Tamandua tetradactyla: one gene and its partner. The protein of the gene in region 1 purifies or fractionates together with the protein of each later gene. This does not show direct contact. Links are inferred from orthologs where the notes say so. Each region holds a gene or a part of one and is shown in the gene's direction. Other genes may lie near its edges. The genes, in order: HNF1A and PCBD2.

Region 1 (10,727 bases):
CAGGGCTTGACACATAGTAGGTGTTAAAAAAATGCAAGCTATTTTTATTAGGGTGAAAACTCACAGTTAAATGCCTGCTTGCTATATATACACATACCTGGTTGCTATATATACACCCTCATATTGAAAAAAATTTATTCTGGTAACATATGTACGATACAAAATTTCCCATTGAAATCACCTTCATGTGTGCAATTCTGTGGTATTAATGACATTCCTAATATGGCACCATGATCCCCACTACCCATTACCAAAGCATTTGCATCACCCCAAACAGAAACTCTGCACCCATTAAGCAACGATTCCCCATTCCCATCCCCCCGCCCCCCCCAACTTGTTATCAGCTTCGTGTTTTCTATGGATTTTGTTATTCTAGGTATTTCACAAAAGCAAAATCATACAATAGCTGTCCTTTTGTGCCTGGTTCATTTCACCCAAAACAATGTCTTCAGGCTTCATCCATGTATTACAGCTTCCGAGTAGGGCTTGTCACTGCGCGCCCCGCAATCCCCAGAGGACCAGACGCCGCCTCTGAACCAGAACGAGCTCGCCGCCACGCAGGGGCAGCCAGGGCTCAGACCCCAAGAGACCCCGAGACCCCCTGATCTTCAGGTTCTAGGTGTAACAGATGGAAACCAAATGGCAAGGTACGGGGGAGGTCCCCCCCTCACCATCCTGCAGGAGCCCTGGCACCACAGCAGGGCAAGCAGCCTTCTCCCCCGCAGTAGGGAAATGTCAGGGAACTGGACAACTTCTGAACTCTGGAGGACGAGCGTGGGAGCAGGGGAGCCGCGACAAGGAAAACCAGCACTTCCCCTTGGTAGAGAACGAGGCCCTGCTTGGCCCCAGCCCTGGTTTCCCGGGATCTTGTGATGTTTTCTGTCCTCTCAACCTTTCCTTTCCTGGGGGGATTGAGGAAAGGCTGTTTTCTTGGACTCCCCCTAAAGTATCAACTCTCCCTGAACTATCTGAGAGCTTGATTGGGCTTCCTTCGTGTCTAGTATGTTTCTTGCATATCAGAGGAAGTGGTTTGAAAACAAAATGAAATTAAATAGAAACAACACCCAGGTGTGAGTTGGGTCCCACATTATCCCTACTTTAAGATGGGGAGACAGAGGCTCCACGCAGTTACGGCACTTGTACAAGGTGCCACAACTAGCACCTGGTGAAACGTGCAACAATTTGTTCTGCTAACAGTGGTCTCAACTAGCCCTAGGATGGAAGTATGGAGCCCCAGCTAAGGGATCAATTTGCTCAGTTCCATCAGTGCCCTTGTATCTTAGGCTGTCTGTTTTGGGCTTTGGCTAGTTGGAACCAGGTTATTTGCCTTCACTTGTAAACACCTTGAGACAGCCAAGAGGCTGTTTCAAACAGAGCTTTGGAAACTTACTTGACCACAAGAATTGCCTGAGGATCTTGTTCAAAAGAAAGGTTCTTTGGCATTCCCTCTGGAAAGTCTGGTGCAGGAACAGTAGGGGTGGGGCTTTGGAATCTGAATTTTTTTAGCCCACGACTCTGGGAATTCTTAGGGAAGGGCAGGGTTGGAAACTTTTGCAGTGAGGAAGCAGAGAGCCCTCTGCTGTTAAAGAAGGGGATGACAATGAAACAAACGCAGCTCAGCTCTCATTCTTTCCTTCCCATGGGGCTTTTTTTCCTTTCTGAGCCTCAGTTTCCTCCTGTAAATGGGAATGAAAGTACCTACCTCGTGAGACTGTTGCGATGAGTTAAATTAGATCATGCAGAAATTTTATATGATACTGTAAGGGTGGGCACACGACATCACACATTTGTCAAAACCCATAGAGCTGTGCAACACAAAGAATGAACCCTAATGTCAACTAGGGACTTTAGTTGCTAATAATGTGTCCATATTGGTTCATCAACTGTAACACATGTACCACACTAATGCAAGACAGGAGAAAACTGAGCGGGGGCTGTACTTTCTGCACAATTTTTCTATAAACCTAAAAAAAGTTGCTCTAAAAAATAAATCCTGTTTAAAAATATTGCCCAATAAAGATTAAGTGGTGGAAATTGGGGCAGAGGGGAGAATCATCGAGTTGAAATACAGGTGGGTCCTGTCGCATGGTCTGGATTAAAATCAACAGCCGGGGTGGGTGCTGGGGGGGGGTGGGCAGTGCAGTCGAAAGGGCACCGCTCTTACTCTGGCTTTTAAGGCAAAGGAGAAGCCTTGTGTCCTGCCTGGACCTCAAAAAATTTTCAGACTTGCAGACAGCTACTCACCAAGTAGGAGAGGATCGTGAAAAAGTGCCCAGCTACCGTTTATTGAATATCTGCTATGTCCAGGGGACAACCATTAGACCTACGGTTCTCAAATTGTGCAGTGAAGTGGCTCAGGGCCACAGACCATTTTAGAGGATTTTTCATGGAAACACAGCGGCATCTGTTGGACGCTTTGCAAACTGCTAGCTCAAGGTGGAACACGATTTCGTGGTTCGCTGAAGATGCACTCCTTCCAACGATGTCATAGCGGTGTGAAGCTGGGCTTCTGGCAATTGCTGTGATTAAAAAGCAAGCATTGAGTGGTGCAATGGTGGCTCAGTGGCAGAGTTCTCGCCTGCCAAGCCAAAGATCCAGGTTCGATCCCCAGAGCATGCCCATGTCAAAAGAAAAAAAAAAAGCAAGTATCCTTTATGGACAAATGAGTAAAAAATAATATTAAGGAGAAAAAAAATGAATAAATAATGGGGGAGATAAAGGGTGAAAATTGGATAGATTAAAATACTGTGGGTTAATGAGAGGGAGGGGTAAGGGGTATGGGTTGTATGAGTTCTTTTTCTTCTTTCTATTTCTTTTTCTGGAGTGATGCAAGCATTCTAAAAATGATCATGGTGAAGAATACACAGCCATGTGATGATGTGGTGAGGCAATGATTGTATAATATGATTGGACTGCATGTGTATGGATATTTCTCAATAAAAAATATATTTTTAAAAAGAGCAAGTATCTTGCAAAAATCATTGTGGAACAGGAAATGAGGGTGTAGTGTCCAATCTGATTCCAAGGTTCGAAAATCTTCGCAGAGCCCCGAAGACAGATGTATCTTGTTGGTATGTTCTATTTTTGTTTGTTTGTTTTCCTGTTGGTAGGTTCTTAAGGTTATTTAAGAATGAATTAAAAATATTTTCTTTCAATGTATATGCCTTCTTTATTGTTTTCTCAAGTGACCACTAAATTGTTAGGGCATATATATTTATTGTTTTGACCTAACCGCTTACTAAACATGACTGTTGGTTTTTTAGTGGGGGGAAGAGGGCTAGAGATGTCGCGGAAATGTTGAGACACTAAGGGTGTCTTGAACCAAGAAAGTCTGGGATCCTTTCATTATACTCTTTATAGAAACTGTCTTAACAGCAACTCTACGAGATCCATATCTTTATTTTGTGGGAGAGGGAAGCCACCCAGCTGGGCAAGGTTGCTGGTGGGTATGCACAGTGAAATTTAAGCCAGGCCCTGCAAATTCTCAGGAAGGCAAACCGCCTCCCCCCACACTGAGTTAATTCCACTTTGCCCAGTGAGGGTGGGGAGGGCGGGCTTAGGTGACTGACAGGCCTTTTTATCCATCAGAGTGACTCTTCCCCCACCCCCCCACCCCCACCAGGGGAGGCCCCAGGAGGCTCTCCCCTCCCCCCACCCCGCCATCCCTTCTCCAACCAAGTTTACTTTCAGTCGCAGTCACCAGTCCAGCTGCCTGGCCTCCAGTACAACATGAGTTCAAAAGTTGTGCCAAACATCCAGCACCCCCCCTCCTCCCTTGCTCCTTCTCGGGTCCCTGTTCTAGGTGAAAAGTCACCGACTGCCAGCAGCAAGTTCCCTCCCTGCCGAGGGGAATAAGCCAGGACCGGGAAGCCAGGAAGGGACACTGATGGAGTGTGGCTTAGGATCCAGGACAGAATTCCTGGACTTGAGAATTCAAGCAGGAGGCTGCCCAGTCCCTGAGCAGCTTGCCACCAGTCGCACAGCTGGTGTCAACCTCTGTGGCCAGCCTGGGTTTAAAACCTGGCGGGGGGGGGGGGGCGGTTTCGGAGCAAGCCGTTTCCCTTCTCTGAGCGGGTTTCCTCCCCTGCAGCATGGGGATAATTACAGCTTCATAGAGTTGTTCTGAGAATCACATGCGTGGCTAAAGCTTAGCACAGAGCTAAGTAGACATCGTCAGTGCATAATGAACCTTACCCACTCAGTCATTCATTCAGTACATTTATTGAGCACCTACTATGCACTATTCCAGACGCTGGGGATACAGCAGTGAATTAGACAGACAAAAGCCCTGCTCTCACGGGGCTCACAGGCTGGCAGAGAGGGGTCCATAAATAATCAACATCATATGTGAGTCAATCAGACAGCGGGCCCGTCCAACAGAAATATAATGCAAGTCACATTTATGCCATTTTAAATGCTCCAGTAGCACCGTTAAAAAAGTTAAGAGAAACAGGTGAAAATACGTATTTTTTTTAATTTAAAAAGTTTTTAGGTTAAACCTTTTAAATGTTTTCTTATTTTTAAATTTAATTTTAAAAAACCTAACATAATATATCTCAAATGGCATCATCTTAAGGGCCGTAAGCCACAGTGCACGTCCTCATTAGCTACACCCAGTGTGAAGTATCTTGGACAATGATGAGAACTGTGCAAAAATGAAGAAGTAAAGCGAGTAAGGGGCTGGAGCGCAGGCTCTGTGGGGGTGGGGTGGGGTGGCGAACAGACAGAGAAGGTGGATTTGCTCTGACTTGGGGGCAGAGCTTCGGATTTTACCCATCGTTGGCCAGGCCCCTTTCCTCTGCTGGCCTGGCCCACATGGCAGGTGCCCAGGCTGATGGCTCCTTCTCTTCCTTCTTGGCCAAACCTGACCCTGACTCTGCAAACTCCCGCAAGATACTCAAGGGCTCTCTGGAAATGCCCCAGCTTGGGGAGGGGGGGTGGGGATGGCCCCTCAGCACCACCCAGCCTCCTCGGGGAAAGAGTGTGCCTCCCTCCCGGGAGACGTCGAATGCTGTGAAAGCTGTGGCTAAACAAGGGAAGGGGTGCGTGGCGGGGAGGCTCTCACCCAGGGCTGGGCTCAGGGAGAGCCGAGGGAGGCAGGCCGTGGAAGTGCAGGGCTGGACCCTGGCCTAATTTAATTTCTTGACATTTGTTCATCATGGACTTTTCTGCATTCAGGTAAAAAATATGTTTTATTGATGTATCTATCATTCATGCCCCGTAAAATTCATCCTTCGGAAGTGTATAGTTCAGTGGTTTTAGAGGATTGAAGGTTGCACAACCATCACCACAATCAATCTGAGAACATTCCCATCATCCTAAAAGAAAGCCCGTTAACAGCTGCTCCATCTAAGCCCCTTCTCCCCATCCTCCCCCCAAAGCTCCCTGGCAGTCACTATTCTACTTTCCATCTTTTTAGATTTGCCTCTTCTGGACATTTCATATAAAATGAAATCATAAACAGTGTGGCCTTCAGGGACTGGCTTCCTCCACTTAGCGTAATGTTTCTAGGTTCGTCCATACTGTAGCACGGACCGGTACTTTATTCGTTTTATAATTTCCCCATTCATCAGGTAATGGACATCTGAGTTGCTTCCTCCTATTAGGAATAATTCTGCTCTGAATTTTATATACAAGTTCTTGTGTGGACAAGTTCTTCATTCTCTTGGACTTTGCATTCCTTTTAAGTTTTTAAGACATTGCATCACAGTATTAATGTGGGGTACTGAATTTTTTGGTGCCCCCTTAAATTTTGTGCCTCTGTCTCCTTACAGAGTCCCGGCCCTGCAAGCCTCTTCCCTCGGAGGCTGTGTGACTTTGGGCAAATCGCTTCACGTCTCGGAGCCTCAGTTTCCTTCTCTCTAAAACGGGGGTAATCCCTACAGCTTCCCACAGTGTCAGGTAGAAACAATGAAGCAATCGGGCACCCCTCAGACCCAGCAGCCTTCCTCAAACACAGTAGACTGAAGTCAACACGTTTTCCCTATGGGGAGGTCTGGTTGTTGAGCCTGGGGGTGGTGGTGGGGGGAAGGGTGATCCCCCAAAATGAATGCGACTTACCCTGCCCTTGAGGGGAGCTGGCTCAGCTGCCCAGAACGCCTTTGCTGCTTTTTTCCCCCAAAAGGGGACGCGTGTTTATTATTATTATTTTTGCTCTCCTGCCTCAGTCTGACCCCCTGCAAGGTCCTAGGAGTGGGACCCAGCGCTGCTCACCCCAAGGCCTCCCTGGCTGCCAGTGCCCACGCATCCGGGGCGCCCTGGGGCCCTCCACCCTCTCCTCCCCCACCCCGCACTCCCGGGCTAGGCCGGGGCTCCCCGTCCGCCATGAGGCCTGCACTCCGCGCGCCGCAGGGCTGAAGTCCAAAGTTCAGGCCCTTCGCTAAGCACACGGATAAATATGAACCTTGGAGAATTTCCCCAGCTCCAATGTAAACAGAGCGGGCAGGGGCCCTGATTCACCGGCCGCCGGGGCCAGGGTTGGGGGTTGGGGGTGCCCACGGGGCTTGGCTCGCGGGCTTCTGGGGGTGCAGGGCGCCCGGTCTGCGCCCACCGGCCGGCGGGCGGGCGGCCGGCCCACACGTGACAGCGGAGCCATGGTGTCCACGCTGAGCCCGCTGCAGACCGAGCTCCTGGCCGCTCTGCTCGAGTCGGGCCTGAGCAAAGAGGCGCTGATCCAGGCGCTGGGGGAGCCGGGGCCCTACCTGCTGGCCGGAGGAGACGGCCCCCTGGACAAGGCGGAGGCCGGCAGCGGTGGCCGCGGGGAGCTGGCCGAGCTCCCCAATGGGCTGGGGGAGACGAGGGGCTCCGAGGACGAGACGGACGACGACGGGGAAGACTTCACGCCGCCCATCCTCAAGGAGCTGGAGAACCTCAGCCCCGAGGAGGCGGCCCACCAGAAGGCCGTGGTGGAGACCCTTCTGCAGTAAGGACCCCTCCCCTGCCCCCAGGTCCCAAGACGGAGCCCAGAGGGGCCCAGCCCCAGCTCTTGAGCAGCTGCTCTTCAGAGTTCCAGGTCCCTATGAGCTGCGGCCCTGAGCCTAGGTGTCAGGAAGGGGGACGGGGCCCACAGGGGCTCAGAGGGGTCCTTGCCTGGGGGAAGGAGACCCAGTCCCCGGGCAGCCCCTCTGCAGAGTCCTGTGCCTCCTTGAACCTGAGCCTTCAGCCCAGCACCTGGGAGGTGGAGACATGCTCCAGGGGAGCTCGGAAAAGGCGGAAATATCAGCAGAGCCCACAACCCCAATGCCTAGAGAGCCACAGGGTGGTAGAAATTTCTAGCCAGCATGGCCATTTCAATCCCCCAAACTCTAACTTCCCCGCCAAGGCCTCCAGGTATAGACTCAGGGCCCAAGAAGCGTGGCAGGGGAGAAGGGCTGAGGCTGGGGTTTGAGGGGCTTCCCTGGCCACCCTGGGACTCAAGACTTTCAGGCAGGGGAAGCCCAGGTCTGTCTTACCTGGGGAAGATGGAAACTTGGGTCAGGAGCTGCTCCCTTTCCTGCTCAGCCACAGGCCCCCCCACCCTGCCAGCAGGCGCCATTAGCAGCCTCCCGGTCCCGTACCCCTGTCCGCTGGCTGACTCCCCATCTCCTGGAGAACTGGGTGGGTCCTGTGCTCAATGCCTCCCCTCTCCTCAGCAGAGCTGACCTGGTTACTAATTACCCACGGGCTTTGTTATTTCTCTTTTGTTTTATAAATTTATAAATGGCAAAAGGCTCTGATAAGGCCTGTGATCATTAACTTGTAGGGACGGTGGCCTGCAGAAGCCTGAGCAAACCAAACCCCCACCTCCCAGAGGGGGTGGGGACGGGGGAGCGTGGGGTGGGGAGGCTCCATGACCTCCACCCTAACCCCCACCAGCATGCTGAGGGGTACGACCCCCCAGGTACTGTGCTGAGGCCTCCCATTCATAATCAACGTTGAGATCCCCCCCCCACCCAAGGAACTGTTATCCATTAGTATTAACCATCTAATAGTTGGTTATCTATTGATAATGCTGCGTCACAGATGGGTAAACTGAGGCTCAGCGAGTTGCTTGATTAAGGACGCCCAGGTGGGACTCCAAACCCCATACTCTCCGGTGCCCCGGATCTCTCTGACTAGGGGCCTGCGGTGCCTTGGGGGGGTCTGAGGGCCGGTCCCAAAGACTCTCTGCAAGGAAGCGTTTCTTTTCTGTCCAAGGTCCTGATCCTGGCTTGGGGTGGGGGAGGGCTGGTGGATCCTGGCCTTCCCGGTGACCTCACGTAAACCTCTGGGTCTGCCAGGACTCCCGAGGGCCCGGGAAGGGGACAGGAGAGCGGTCGGGGGGCCCCCGACTTGGCAGGAAGACGAGGGCAAAGGGCGCTCGCGCGGCAGGGAGGAGCACAGGCACAGGCCAGGCCAGGGCGAGGACAACCTGGGCAGGGTGGGGCTGGCCCAGACCCGCCGAGGGCCCCGGATGGGCGCGGGGGCAGGGGGTGCCAGGGGCCTTTCTTACCTGGCTAGGTGGGGCCTCTTGATCAGCAGCCCCTTTGGTGAGATGCCGGGGTGGGGGGGGAGGCTTGATCCACAGCTCTTGAGGAAGGAACAGAGGTCAAAGTGCTCCCTGGGGGCCAGTGGGGACCCGGGGCATTCCAGGAAGCCGAGGGAGACAGGGGAGGCGGGGAGGCCGAGAGAGGGCCCCGGGGAGACAGACAGAGAGGCCTGCAGAGGTAGCGCAGAGCCCAGGCCAAGGAGGGTGGAGGGACCCCAGGCCCGCTGGGGAGAGACTGCGGCACCCCAAGCTGAGAGGAGGCTAGAGTGCTTCCCCCGCCCACCCCGACTGGGTTTTCTTTAATGCTAACAGCAGGCTATTTACTTTCCATTTAAATTTGAGATGTTGCTATAAATTATCAACCAGCTCCTTGTTCCTGTGGAGTTTATAACTAACTACCTGGGTTACTTATTGTTCAGGTAACAAAAGGCAGCTGAAAACGCCCTGAGGGAAAAAAAGTGGGCCCTCTGGCCTCAGGGCAGGGGAAGAAGCCAGAGAGAAAGGTGGGGAACCTCGATGGACGCCGGGGTGTTGGGTGAGGTTGAAGCTGGACAAAGATGGTGCGGCGCAGGACTTTGAGTGGAAGCTGATTCTCTGGAGGGGACAAATGTCTGGGAGAAGGCAGGGGTGGGTGCCGGGTCCCAGAACTCCTTTGGGGTGCCCTGTGCCTAAGGTCACAGCAAGACCCTGAGTGCTTCCCTTAGTCTCCACTCTTAGTTCACTGCATGACCTTGAGCATGTCTCTTTCCCGCCTTCTGCCTCAGTTTCCCCACCTGGACAACAAATGAAATCCAAACTCCGTGCCTTGGTCCCCGCGCCAGCCTCCCTGGCCTCTTCCCTGACCTCTCTCTCCCTTAGTCATTTTGCTCCAGTCACATTGACATTGCTGTCCCTTGACATACCAAGCCGATGCCTGCCTCAGGGCCTTGGCACGTGCTGTCCCTCCTGCGTGGAGCCTACTTTCTGGATCTTACCATGGCAGATTCATTCTCCTTTCAGCTCAAATGTCCCCTCCTCAGAGAGGTGCCCCTTGACCATCCCATCCAAAGGTGGGCCCTACCCCTGTGACTCTCTCTCCTATTACCCTCATTTACTTTCCCCTGTCACAGATCACAGCCATGATTACCTTATGTGTCTGTTCTCTGTCTCCTGCTGTGATCGCAGAAGCTCTTCAAGCAGAAGGCCTGTGTTGCCTTGTTCACCACTCAGATGCCCTCTGCCCAGCCCAGTGGCTGACAAACAGCATGCTTGAGTGGGGGACAATGACTCTGAGACTCTATGGACATCTGCTGCCCCGTCGGCCAGGGTCCAGCCTGCATCCACCTCATACCCCAACCTTGAAGCTCTTGGATCCTCCCCATTGGGCATTGCCAAGTCTCATAGTAGGGCCTGAGCCCCAGGAACCCAGCGGCCAAGGTGGGACAAAGGATCTGATACCCCTGATTAAACTGGCTGGGCCTGGGTTCGGATCCCAGCTCTGTCCCTTTTGGCTTGGGCTGGTGATTTCATCCTTCTGAACCTCAGTTTACTCTGCAAGGCAGAAATGACAATAACACTTACTCACAGGATTCAAAAGCCTGATGTTCGTAGGGTACCTGCATCCTAAGTGCACTCAAAGGCAGCTCTTGTTAACGGAATGCATTTTTACAGATGAGCAAATTAAGGCTCAGAGAGGCAAAGTGACTTGCCCAAGGTAATCCTTACAAAGTGGTAATGCCGGGGGCTCGGACCCAGGTACTTCCACCCCATGCTCTTCCCGGGGCCCTTGAGGTTCCATGCCTCTCCTTGGTAACTTCACCTCCTTTTCCTCCCTCCCCGGTCGCTCCTCCTGTTTCACTTCGTCTCGTTCATTGCATCACAGACTCGCTTCCACGCAGAGCTTTAGAGCTCATGAAGGACTTGCAAATGCATTAACTCGTTGAATCCTCCCGCGAACCCTCTGAAATAGGAAATAATATTAGCCGCACAACACCGAGGAGGAAACTGAGGCACAGGACGTTAGGCAACTTTCTCAAGGCCACATGGAGAGTGAAGGGCAGAGCTGGATTCAAACCCAGGTCTACAGGAGCCCCTTGGGGTGAGGGGTCCTAACAGGCTGGTCTCCCAGTTCCATGAGCTTAGATGCACCGGAACCCCAGAGACCCGAGGGGAAAAGGCCCAAAGCCGTGGATGTGTGATTGACCCCAAAAGGGGAAGGAGGCGAGATATAGGGGGTGGGCAG
Region 2 (10,913 bases), on another chromosome or scaffold:
AGGATTCACTCTGAGGTGTAAAACTTTGTCAGTCAGTGGCCAGCCCAACATGGAGAGGTAATTTTATTCTGCAGGTCTGAAAGGCAGCATTGTCACATACAACAACTGTTAAAGAAATTGGAAAAAATATAAGGCTTCTATTAGAGATAAGAACAAAGCTGATCCAGTCGGGATTAAGGTAAATCAGAATACTGGGGTAAGGAAGAGATTTTATTTTAGAACTTTACCTCCTCTATGAGACCAAAGGAAGAGAGGTTTATTTTGTCCAAAACCTAAGTTTTCTGTAGTACATAATCTAACTCACCCTGCCTAGACAGATCATTTAAACCACCCAAACGCCTACCTATAGTTATGCCTAAGAGTTACTTCCAGAGGACCTCTTCTGTTGCTCAGATGTGGTTTCTCTCTCTCTCTAACCCCAACTCTGCAAGTAAAATCATTACCCTCCCCTCTATGTGGGACATGATATCCAGGGATGAAAGTCTACCTGGCAACATGGGATATGACTCCCAGGAATGAATCTGGCCCTGGCACTGTGGGATTGACAATGTCTTCCTGACCAAAAGAGGGAAAAGAATTGTAACAAAATAAACTATCAATGGCTGAGAGAGTTCAAATAGAGTCAAGAGGCCACTATGGGAGGCCACTTTTAGTGCAAGGTTCAGCTAGATACTGCTAATTACCACAGTTTGCCAAACCCCAACCAGAACCATTCTTGTATGAGAACCGAGGGCTCTCTCTGAGATTCTACAAAGGTTCCATGCACTATGATTACTTTCCAGAAACCTACAACCTCCAGATGGTTCCTAGGCTAGATAAGTCCTAAAACCCAGCGGGGCCATCCTCTCCAGAACATCAACTAGTTCTATCCCCCATTCCATTTTGACGACAGCCCCTTCCAACATGAAAAAGTTAGAATAGGCATAGCCCAAATACTCTTATAAGATTGGGAGACAGATCAGAGGAGAAGGTGGAGCTCTAACAGAGAAGATAGGACTGAACAAATGAGTATGACTGGTGATTCATTATATTTTCTTTTAGTCTCTAGTGTCTTGGAGTAGCTAGAAGGAAAAACCTAAAATTGTGAAACTGTAAACCTGAAACTCTGAAATCTATAACTAATTGTTGTGGTATGCTTTGAAATTTGCTTTTTTGTATATATGTTGTTTTTCACAATAAAACAATGAAAAATAAAAGTACATCTGCAGACGGATGGATTGAATGATATAGAAAATGTGGAAAATGTTAAAAGTGGTGGATCTGGGTATCCAAGTGTCTGTGTGGGTGTGTGTTGGAGTTCTCTGTATGGGTTTTGTATTATTTTGCAACTGTCCTATAAGTTTGAAATTATTTCAAAATAAAAAGTTAATCCCTCCCAAAAAAGAGGTAATTTTAATTATGATTGTAGATACCTTTAAAAAAGTTTGACTTTATTGAGATATAATTTGCATACCATATACTTTTCCTGTGCCTTTCTATGTACATTTTTCATTTACACTAATTACAGAAAAGCATGCATAGATCATTAGTGTATAGCATGATGAATTTTTACAAAGTGAACACCCAGGGTAATCAGCTCTCCCTCATTGCTATTCTGCTCACATTCCCTAGAGAAAACTACAATTTTGTCCCCTAATACCATAGACTGTAGTCTCTTTTTGAATTTTATGTTCATGGAGACATACAGTATATAACAGTCTTGTGTTTGGCCTATTCCTCTCAGCATTATGTTTGTGAGATTCATCTATATTGTTATGTATGCTTATGTGTTCATTTTTGTTGCTGTATAGTTCCATTTGTTAATCCATTTGTAAATGCTGTTGTAATTCCTTAAAATTTGCCAAAACAGATGGCCTTTTTTTTTTTTATGCTGTTCACAAAGTTTGAACAGATAAATTGAAGAAATTTCCTCAACTGGGAAAGTTCTCTTCTCAAAAGTTAAATATGAGCACTTTACTTCCTGATATATAAATTATATTCACTGGAAATATATATAAATTATAACATATCTTCCAAATATATTGAGTTGCATGAATTACTTATACCTAACACTACAGAACCAAGCACTCAACTGCTCAGAGTAAATAAAGGGCTTATGAGAACTTTAGAAATTCTAAGTCTGCTGGACCCCTGGTTGTCATTAGATTGACAGGGTAGACGGCACCATTTTGTTCCGTGCGCTAAGAAAACCAGCACACAGATGGGAACAGCAGTCACATCATCTTTGAGAATTTCTGATCCAAGTGGTGGTTAGTTGCTCTAACAATTCTTTCAGTAAATTCTTTAAAAGCATTTTGAATTTAGCATGACCTAACCTGTGAAAATGTTTTGTAGACTCCTGAGAATAGTTTTACTAGTTACTTGTTGAACTTTGGTCTCAAAAGAGAACAAAAAGCCCTTGTGATGCTTGGCTAAGAAACCTCTGATGAGTTCACAGAAATTCTAGTGTTTTAGCTTTGAACAGCTGAATGGATTCCTGTTCTTTTGATGTGGTGAGGAGAAAGGCAAGTTACAGATTATACCGACAGGCAATGAAATCCATCCCAGATATACTAGTGGTGATGTTTATTTTAAGATGCATATCATTTTGCATACCACGCATAATACTTCAGACAAATCAGCCCTGGGTGCTTTCTCTATCTGATTTCAACCACTTGATTTCTCTTTCAGGTATAGAAGCCAAGAAAAATGTGGTGGTAACTCAGGATGACCAAACAGGCCCTCTTCCTAGCACTTTGATCAAAAGTGTGGACTGGTTGCTTGTCTTTTCCTTATTCTTTTTAATTAGCTTTATTATGTATGCTACCATTCGAACTGAGAGCATTCGGTGGCTCATTCCAGGACAAGAGCAAGAACATGCGGAGTAGTCATGGCCTGAAAGAAGTTGGAAAGAGGAATTTCAGTTCATTTCAGAAATTATCGTGATTTCATGTATGTTCTTCAGTGAGGTGTTAACTTGCAGTTTCACTTAGCTTAAAAGAATTATGCATTTGTTCAACTACTGAATATGTAAAAAAAAATGTAAATGGTGTTTTAACTAGTATTATAATAAGCAAATACAGTATTCAATAGAATTCACCATTCTTGCTTTCACTACTTGAACATAATACAATACTTTAAGAGAGTAATTAGTTTAATATGTGAAAACGTATTCTGGTAGAATAGTAAGAGAACAATATGCTTACTATATAGAAGGCAGAAATCCGACTTTACATGTAGTTTCAGAAAACTCTAGCTTCCCTATATGTCTAAGAAGATTGGTTTTCTGTTCTTTTGCAATTTCTTTTAGAGTCCATAAGCAGGAATGTACTTAGTTAAGAGAAGAGTAATTGGAATGAATTAGTGTGAGCTCACAAGTGCAACTGCTACTTGCTGTCTTTGTTGATGGGGAAATAAAAGAGTCAAATACCTTGGTGAATATGTTCTCTAATTTTACTTAGATAATTTGAAGGGCTTACAAAGTGTGTGGACAAGGCAGATGACTAGAAGAAAGTGCTTTCATCATAATTAAAGCTATTTTATTGAGAGTTCCTTCCTATGCTAAAGTGTAACTTAAATTTTAGTCATGGTTAATCAACCAGCATTTGTTAGTTGAGCCCTAAAATGTTGTTAACATTGTGGTAGATTTGAGATCCAAAGGAAGTGTAAATACTGCCATTGCCTACAAGTTGATTCCAGTCTGGTTCAGGACACATTTAGTAAAGAGATGACATAATAATACATTGTTTATACAGACCTTCTGAAACACTATTTCTAAGCAATCCCTAAATATATAAAATAGCTGATTGCATACTAATAAATTATTTTAATACTAATTGTTTCCTGTGTTTTAGAGTAGCTGAATGTTCATTTTATAAGGCATCTTGATATTTTATCAAAATAGAACTTAAGATGAGTCCCTTTCTCAGTGTTATAACACATGGTTGCTTGCAACTTTATAGCTATGTGTCATATTGTGGATAGCTTTGGCTGGGATGGTGGGGGGACCATGCTCAGAATAGTACCAGTATCTCCATTTGCAAATGAGCAAACTGAGGCATAGAAAGATTAAATCACTTGCCAGGTTACAGATAGTCAGTTGATCAAGCTGAGCTGAGCTTCCATGTATATTTTTATCTGTTTTTTTTTTTCATGGGGAGGCACTGGGAATTAAACCTGGGTCTCCAGCATGGCAGGCAAGAACTCTGCCTGCTGAGCCACCATGGCCCACCCTCCATATATATTTTTAATTGCAAATATTGAAAAACAACATAGTGATTCTATCTTATAACTAACATTTGAGTATTACTGTGTACATACCAGGAACTATTTTAAGTTCTTTGCATATACTGTTTCATTTAATCTACACACCAGCCTTATGAGACTGACACTACTATTAAATATCTTCATTTTACACAAGAGTAAACAGGTCCTAAATAATTTGCTCCTGGGTCATGCAGTTTTCAGTGGTAGGAGCAAGTTTCAAAATTAGTCATTCTGACTCCAGAGCCTTTAGGCAGGATGGCACCCTGCCTGGCCTCTCTGTGCTGCAACCTGGGCAGCCATTGTATATATTTCCCTCCAGTCTTTTCCTGGGTGTTTCCTATAGCTGTAATCATAATGTACATATAATTTAATTTAGGACCTTGTTTTATCATTTTTTTCCCTTAACAAGTGGTAAATATTTTACTGTTGATAATAATATTCCTAACTGTAGCTACAAAACAGGCTTTGAGTAATTTCAGGATTACTTACCTAACCCATCTCCTTGTGCTGGATGTTATGGTTGTATATGGGTTCACTTCCTTGGGGGCAGATTCCCAGGGTGGGAATTTTCATATCTAAACTGGGGGTGGGGGAAGGCTCCCTGGATGACCAAGAGATCCATGGCTTTGCTTCTAACACTTGGCTGAGATTGGTTACATGTGGTTCTTCTGCAGACACGTGGAGCAAGGTGAGCCCCTGGAGAGGAGGTTTGGGTGTAGAGAGCCCGATGGAACACTAGGAGACACTGGTGTTGAGGGAAAGGAAAATGGGAGCTAAACTATTCCAAGTCAAGCATGGTGTCTATTATAGAGGACGCACTCAGTAAATCTTTGCTGAGATAGCTTACATCTTACTAACTGGAAAGCTGCATGTGAGGACAGAGCATACACAGCTCCTATTGGTGGCCAGCCCTTCCTCTGGCCCTAGCTGCAACTGCTGCTGCTTTCTTGACTAGGGCAGATGCCACAGCCTCATGCAGTGCTATCAAGGAATGAAAAGGATGCAAGTAAAACGTACAGAAAACAAGGGGTCACTAACTTGTTAACTCATACCTACCAATTCATTCTCCAGTTCTCACTTTAATGAGCAAAATTGTAGAGCATTTTCCACAATCATAAATACACACTGCAAATAGTGGAAACACAACTTTCAATCCTACCCCTTGTATCTTAGCCTCAGGCATCCCGCAGAAGAAACCAAGGCTACAACGGAATGAAGCTAAGCTGATGCATTTTAATGTCTTGGATAAATGCCCTGAGACCTGCAACATTTGGTCAAGGCCTCCAGTGTGATTCCTCCCCTCAGTTTTCCTCTTGAAATAGTTGTCTTGTCATGTGAACAAAAGGGAAGAAGGTGGGTCTGGTTAGAAGTCAATTTTGGGCTATTTCAAAGCAAAGTATTTTCTCAAAAATCAAGACTGCTAACAAATGCTAAGTTGTACAATGGACTTTGATCTTTTAAAATATATATTTTGAGTATATTGCTATCCTCCGCAAAGCCGCTTATATTAAGCTATTTAGTAAAAAAATAAATGATACAAGTGAATGTACTAAAAACCACTGAACTGTACACTTTGAAAGGGTAAAGTTTATGGTATGTGAATTATACCTCAAAATAAGGTAAAAATATTAATAAGACACACACACATAAAGGAAACAATACTCCCAAAAACGGTATGAGGAAAATTTTCCAGACCCGTCCATAGGTATCTGGAGAGCTCAGAGTGTGCTACACCAATGCCCATGTTGATACAGCTACTTTTTACAAAGCACTAGGTGTCAGCTTTTCCAGATTATCTTGTCTAGGTAAATACAGATGAGCCAGCTTGCCCAAGGACTTGCAGAAAAGAATGTCAGCGCAGGACGCAGCTTCGAACCCCCGGTTGCCCGACTTAGATTTGAACCAATACGGTCCGGCGTCTCCCGCGAATGCTGAATTAAAGACAACTGGAGAGACGGCACCTAAGCACCCGCAGCCCATCTCCGCCCGCTCGCCGCAGGCCCACGCGGGAGTCGGGGCCGGTCAGACCGTGTGCGAACCCGCGGCACTCCGAGGCCCGACGCCGCGGCAGGATTCCGGACCCCGAAGGACAGAAGCCGAGGCCAAGCCTAAGGACGAAAGGAAGCCCGCAGCGTCCCGCCAGACAGGAAAACCCGACACCTGGGCAGGGGTGACGCGAAGGCCAGCAGAGACGGGATGGGCAGGCCCGCAGCGTCACGTCGGCCCGGCTGCTCACAAAGCTGGCGACCACGGCCACTCCTGGGGCTTTCCGGGGTCTTGACCGCGCCTGGGCCTGCGCAGCGGCCTGTGCGGGGCGCCTCGGCCTGGGCTGGGAGCCGTCTGCACGGCCGCCGGCGCCGGCTCAGCCTCGCGGCTGGGCGTAGGCGGCGGGCGCCGAGGGAGCGCGGGCCGGCGGGCGTGCAGGCGGCGCGCGGGGCAGCCCTCGGCGCGAGGCCATGGCGGCGGCCCTGGGGGCGCTCGGGGCGACGCGGCGCCTCTTCCTCGCGCTGCGGGGCCGGGACTCGAGCCTCGCGGTCGTGGTGAGTCGTGGGTCCGCGTGTGCGGGAGGAGGGCGAGGCCCCCGCGGCGCCGGCGGAGGGGCAGCGGGGCCCGGGCAGGCCCGCGAGTCCGCCCGGCCTTCGGGCTCGGCCCAGAGCCACAGCCGGCGCGCTGGGCTGAGTGAAGCAACTTCCAGGTTTCCCACGGCTTCAGCATTCCGTCACAGCCTACGAAATGGCCAGCCGGAAAACAAATGGGAACGGGGTCTGTTTTTAAAAATTATGAGAGGACTTCATAAATATGAAAAGTATTGCAAGACATTTGATGGTCAGTGACGCTCACTGCGCGGCTGGGTCCTCTAGGGTGTGCGCTCCGTGGGGGCAGGACCGTCTCCGTCGCGGCCCGCCGTCAACGGGTTGATTGTTGAATGAACTAACTTGTTTTGGTGTTCATTTTTCGGAATAATTATTAATAAATTGTAGTTTCTGTGTGTGGCACATCGTTTTTTCTTGCCTCTTTCAAGGGGCGTTCGGTCCGTTTTCCTGCTTTGGAAATAATATTTTGTGACGTTAACTTGAGGGAAAACGTTAACGTGCAGCACCACCTAGAGGAGAGGTGTTGAATTAAACTCACCGTTTTATTTTCTTAAGTTGCTCATTTGACACTGCTTAGAATTTCTTTAATAGGAGAGATCTAGACTAGCTCGATGATAGAGGATGAGAAGCACCTTGTTGCCTATGCGTGGCTATTGGGGAGAGAACAGAAGTTGAGTCTTTATGGTCACCCAGGCTTGTCTCAACGTACACCCCTTTCCAAGGGGTTGGTGGTCAAGTACAGACATGGCGTTGGGATAAGAACTTACGAATTTGATTTGAGAGGCTGCCTGGTGTCGGATTCTAGACTGGGTGCCTTGACATGCAAAATGTCTTAAGTCTTTCAAAAGATATCGGCAGGTAGATATGGTAATATTCCTACTATAGAGATGAGGACCCTAGAATTCAGAGAGGGTAGGCGATTTATTCAGCATTCCACAGCTAAAAGTAAGAAAGCTGGGCCTTGAATCAAGTTACTCTTTCCAGATCCCATGTTCTTCTCAGTCTCTTCCCCACTTCCCCTAAAAAAGGAAACCCACCACAAAGGGATGGACCCTGAAGGGGGCTAGGAGTGTTAGGTGGATGAAGTGATTCCATTTTCCAGGCCTGGTCATGATCTCGGTTTCTGGGCAGACATCTGTTGTGAGCACAGAGTGCATGCCATTGCGCTCATCGACATGTGGATGGCTGAGCATGCAGAGAAAAGCAACTCAGGAAGCATTCTGTAGGCTCCAGGTGACTGCTGCTTTACGGCAGCATGCTTGATAGTTTTCTTTGTAGCTATTCAGTGTGGGCACAGATAATTCCATTTCTTTAGTGAACTATTCTGAGTTGATTTTAGATATTTGTATTGAATAAGAATTTTAGATTATTTCTTACAGTGGGTCTTTGTGTAAAATTGCTCAAAACTATCATTGTGAAACTAACAAATAGATCTTTTTATTTTTAAATTTGCAACATGCCTTTTAAAGAGGCTTTTACTTTTAAGTTTTTACTTTTGTTAGCTGTGGAAAAGAGCAGCTGATCTAACATGGAAGAAAGACTGAAAAACTGGTTTATTAGCATCCTTTTTACACCTCACAACAGAGGTGTACAACCGAGGTTTGTAAAAATCAGGTAGGAACAAGCTAGACAGAGCACATAAGTGCTTGGGCCTGGCAGCACTCTGGTCAAATTGTGGAGAGAGTTTGTCTTCTGTTGCTTTGAGAAAAGGGTTTCATAAATTCACTTCACAGACAAGGGCCTTTTGCCTTTGGTCCACAGGGTCTGTGAATCCCTAGAAGTTATAATACAAATTGTGTGTAAAAGTACATTTGTCCTGGCCTCCCCCCCACTACCTGAGGATTGCCCAGGACTCATCAGATTTGAAAAGGGGATAATGAGCCCAAACAGTTAAGACCCGTGTGCATAAGCAGTGAAACCTAGTATTGTATTGTGGGACCATCTAAAGAGCAGAAGCATAGGAGATTAGAACCCTGAGTTCTAATCCTGGTTTTGTCAGTGAGCTTGCAAGGTTTCCTCAGGCGTGTGTGTATGCACCAAGTTTCCAAGTCCTTGAGTGCTGCAATTCTGCAAATGTCTGAGATGACCAGTGGTAATGGGGAAATAGTCAGTCTTGGCTAGATCTGTAATAAACAGAGAAGCAGAATTGTGGAGTTTGAGGCAGCAGTAAGGGGAGGGAAGGAAACATACCATGGAGGTGGCTCATTTTGCACAGAGCTAGCCATGTGCTTGTCTGTCTTTTGAGAACAAAGGAGCCAACAATGGTGAGAATTTGTTGCCCTTGAAACTTTTCTCTGCATCTTTACATAAGGTAGAGAACTGTAAGTTCATTTGAGTTTAACTAAATCTTTACATTTTCAGATATTAAATGTATTCTCTTTACAGTCAGCGGGTGCTCACGGGTTGACAGCAGAAGAGAGGAACCAAGCTATACTTGATCTTAAAGCAGCAGGATGGTCGGAATTAAGTGAGAGAGATGCCATCTACAAAGAATTCTCATTCAAAAACTTTAATCAGGTAGATATTATAAATTCTTACTAATGCTATGGTCTGTTTTGTCACCTTAGGCTGTAATTAATTCTGAAACTGTTGGTTGTCTGGTCCCATGTGGATCCAGGATCCAAGATCCAAATTCTCCCTTCCTTAAGAATTCTCCTGGGCAGTTACTACAACTTACCTGGGTGATACTTAGCTCTGGGGGAAAGGTTTGGTTTGTGTCATTTGGAAAATAAAATTTTAAAGTCAGTATTGCTTTGATTTGGTGTTGGCTAGGGTATTTAGTTTCTTTGGAAATTTCAAAATACATTGGGAAAAAAAAAGGTATGAGCTTTTAGTGTTTATCAGAAGGGAGCGTGAGAGAAAATGATTGGCAACATACATTTGCCTGACTGATTCCCCCGACTTCCCTGGGTGGCTGGTAAATGTTCTTTCTTCCTGTAGATGTATTTCTATCTCTGAATCTTCACCCATGGTGCACCCCCTTCCTTGATTGACCCATTTTTCCCAAGCTCTATAGCCAGCCCTTGAAACTTTTCTTAAAACCTGACCTCCCCGCCCTGAGACTCCGTCTTGACAAAGTAACTGTTCTATCAGGGCCCCACCTAATGGAGTCATGCTTAGAGAGTCATCTCCCATGACTTGCCCTTCAGTTATTACTTCATTGCATTTATATAAGGTAAATGCTTTTGACTTTCATGTTTGTTCGGTTAGTTTAGCAATCCTTTGGACAGATTTATTGTTTTTATTTATATTAGATGTCAGCATCTAGAAATCAGAGAGCATGTTTGCTTAAGTAATTCTCTATGGTACCTAACACAGTTCTGGGTAAAAACATGCATTTGATAAATGCAGACTGTTTGCTAGTTTCTAAAAGGGTGTGTGAGCAACAGATTTCCACCAGAGAGAAACCTTCATGTTTTCCTAGTTAATGCCACTCACTTCACTGAGCTACATGTGCTATTCCAGCCATGTGGCTGCCAGCCTTCTGCTGTGAGTCCCCAACTCGTGCGGAAACCTGTACCAGACAGACAGACTGCCTGTCCCTGCTGCCCCACCTGCTCAACAGCTCTTGTTAGGGTCTTGGCATTCTGACTGGTGGCAGGGAATCCCATTGGTACAGTAAGCTTATGCATAAGCTCTTGGTAGCATTTTCTAAGCTTATTAAAATTCTTACATGTGTACAGCTTGACTTCTTTAAGCCTGGGCTAATTTATTGGGCTTGAACATGTGGCTTAAACTACTTGAGTTGTGTTGCCTCGGGCTTTGCCCATGAGTCAGTCCTCCAGAATCAATCCTTACACTTGGGGTGACTTTCAGATATGGAAGGAAAGGCAAAGGAAGCTGTGTAGGATATCCTTGATTAATTGTAAGGTTATTCACTGGGATATTTAATTAACTCATCTTTTTTTTTTTTTTTTTTACCCCTCACACAGCTTTTAGGAGAAAGGGGTAATGGCAAGAAAATCAATGATGTCAGGGAATTTATTCAGAGAACCAGCACAGAGATTCTATCCTGGGGCCGGTTTTCTAGCCAGTCTCCTATGACTGCTGTATGCACAATGACCCTGTAATGGC

The links.
Region 2: the proteins of HNF1A (region 1) and PCBD2 purify together in Homo sapiens (affinity purification with mass spectrometry; 4 studies listed by BioGRID and IntAct, with this or other methods). This does not show direct contact. The link is inferred for Tamandua tetradactyla from reciprocal best matches to the Homo sapiens genes HNF1A and PCBD2.

What each region holds. Positions count from the first base shown.
Region 1 is NC_135331.1:21,253,646-21,264,372, forward strand, and holds the start of HNF1A (hepatocyte nuclear factor 1-alpha), read left to right. Parts: upstream 1-6,593; coding exon 6,594-6,922; intron 6,923-8,470; exon of another isoform or gene 8,471-8,825; intron 8,826-10,727. UniProt on the Homo sapiens protein: Transcriptional activator that regulates the tissue specific expression of multiple genes, especially in pancreatic islet cells and in liver. Binds to the inverted palindrome 5'-GTTAATNATTAAC-3'.
Region 2 is NC_135346.1:14,035,456-14,046,368, forward strand, and holds the start of PCBD2 (pterin-4-alpha-carbinolamine dehydratase 2), read left to right. Parts: upstream 1-6,681; 5' UTR 6,682-6,701; coding exon 6,702-6,785; intron 6,786-6,866; exon of another isoform or gene 6,867-7,044; coding exon of another isoform or gene 7,045-7,071; intron 7,072-9,224; coding exon 9,225-9,356; intron 9,357-10,913. Other genes in the region: TXNDC15 (thioredoxin domain-containing protein 15), read left to right, coding at 2,671-2,867.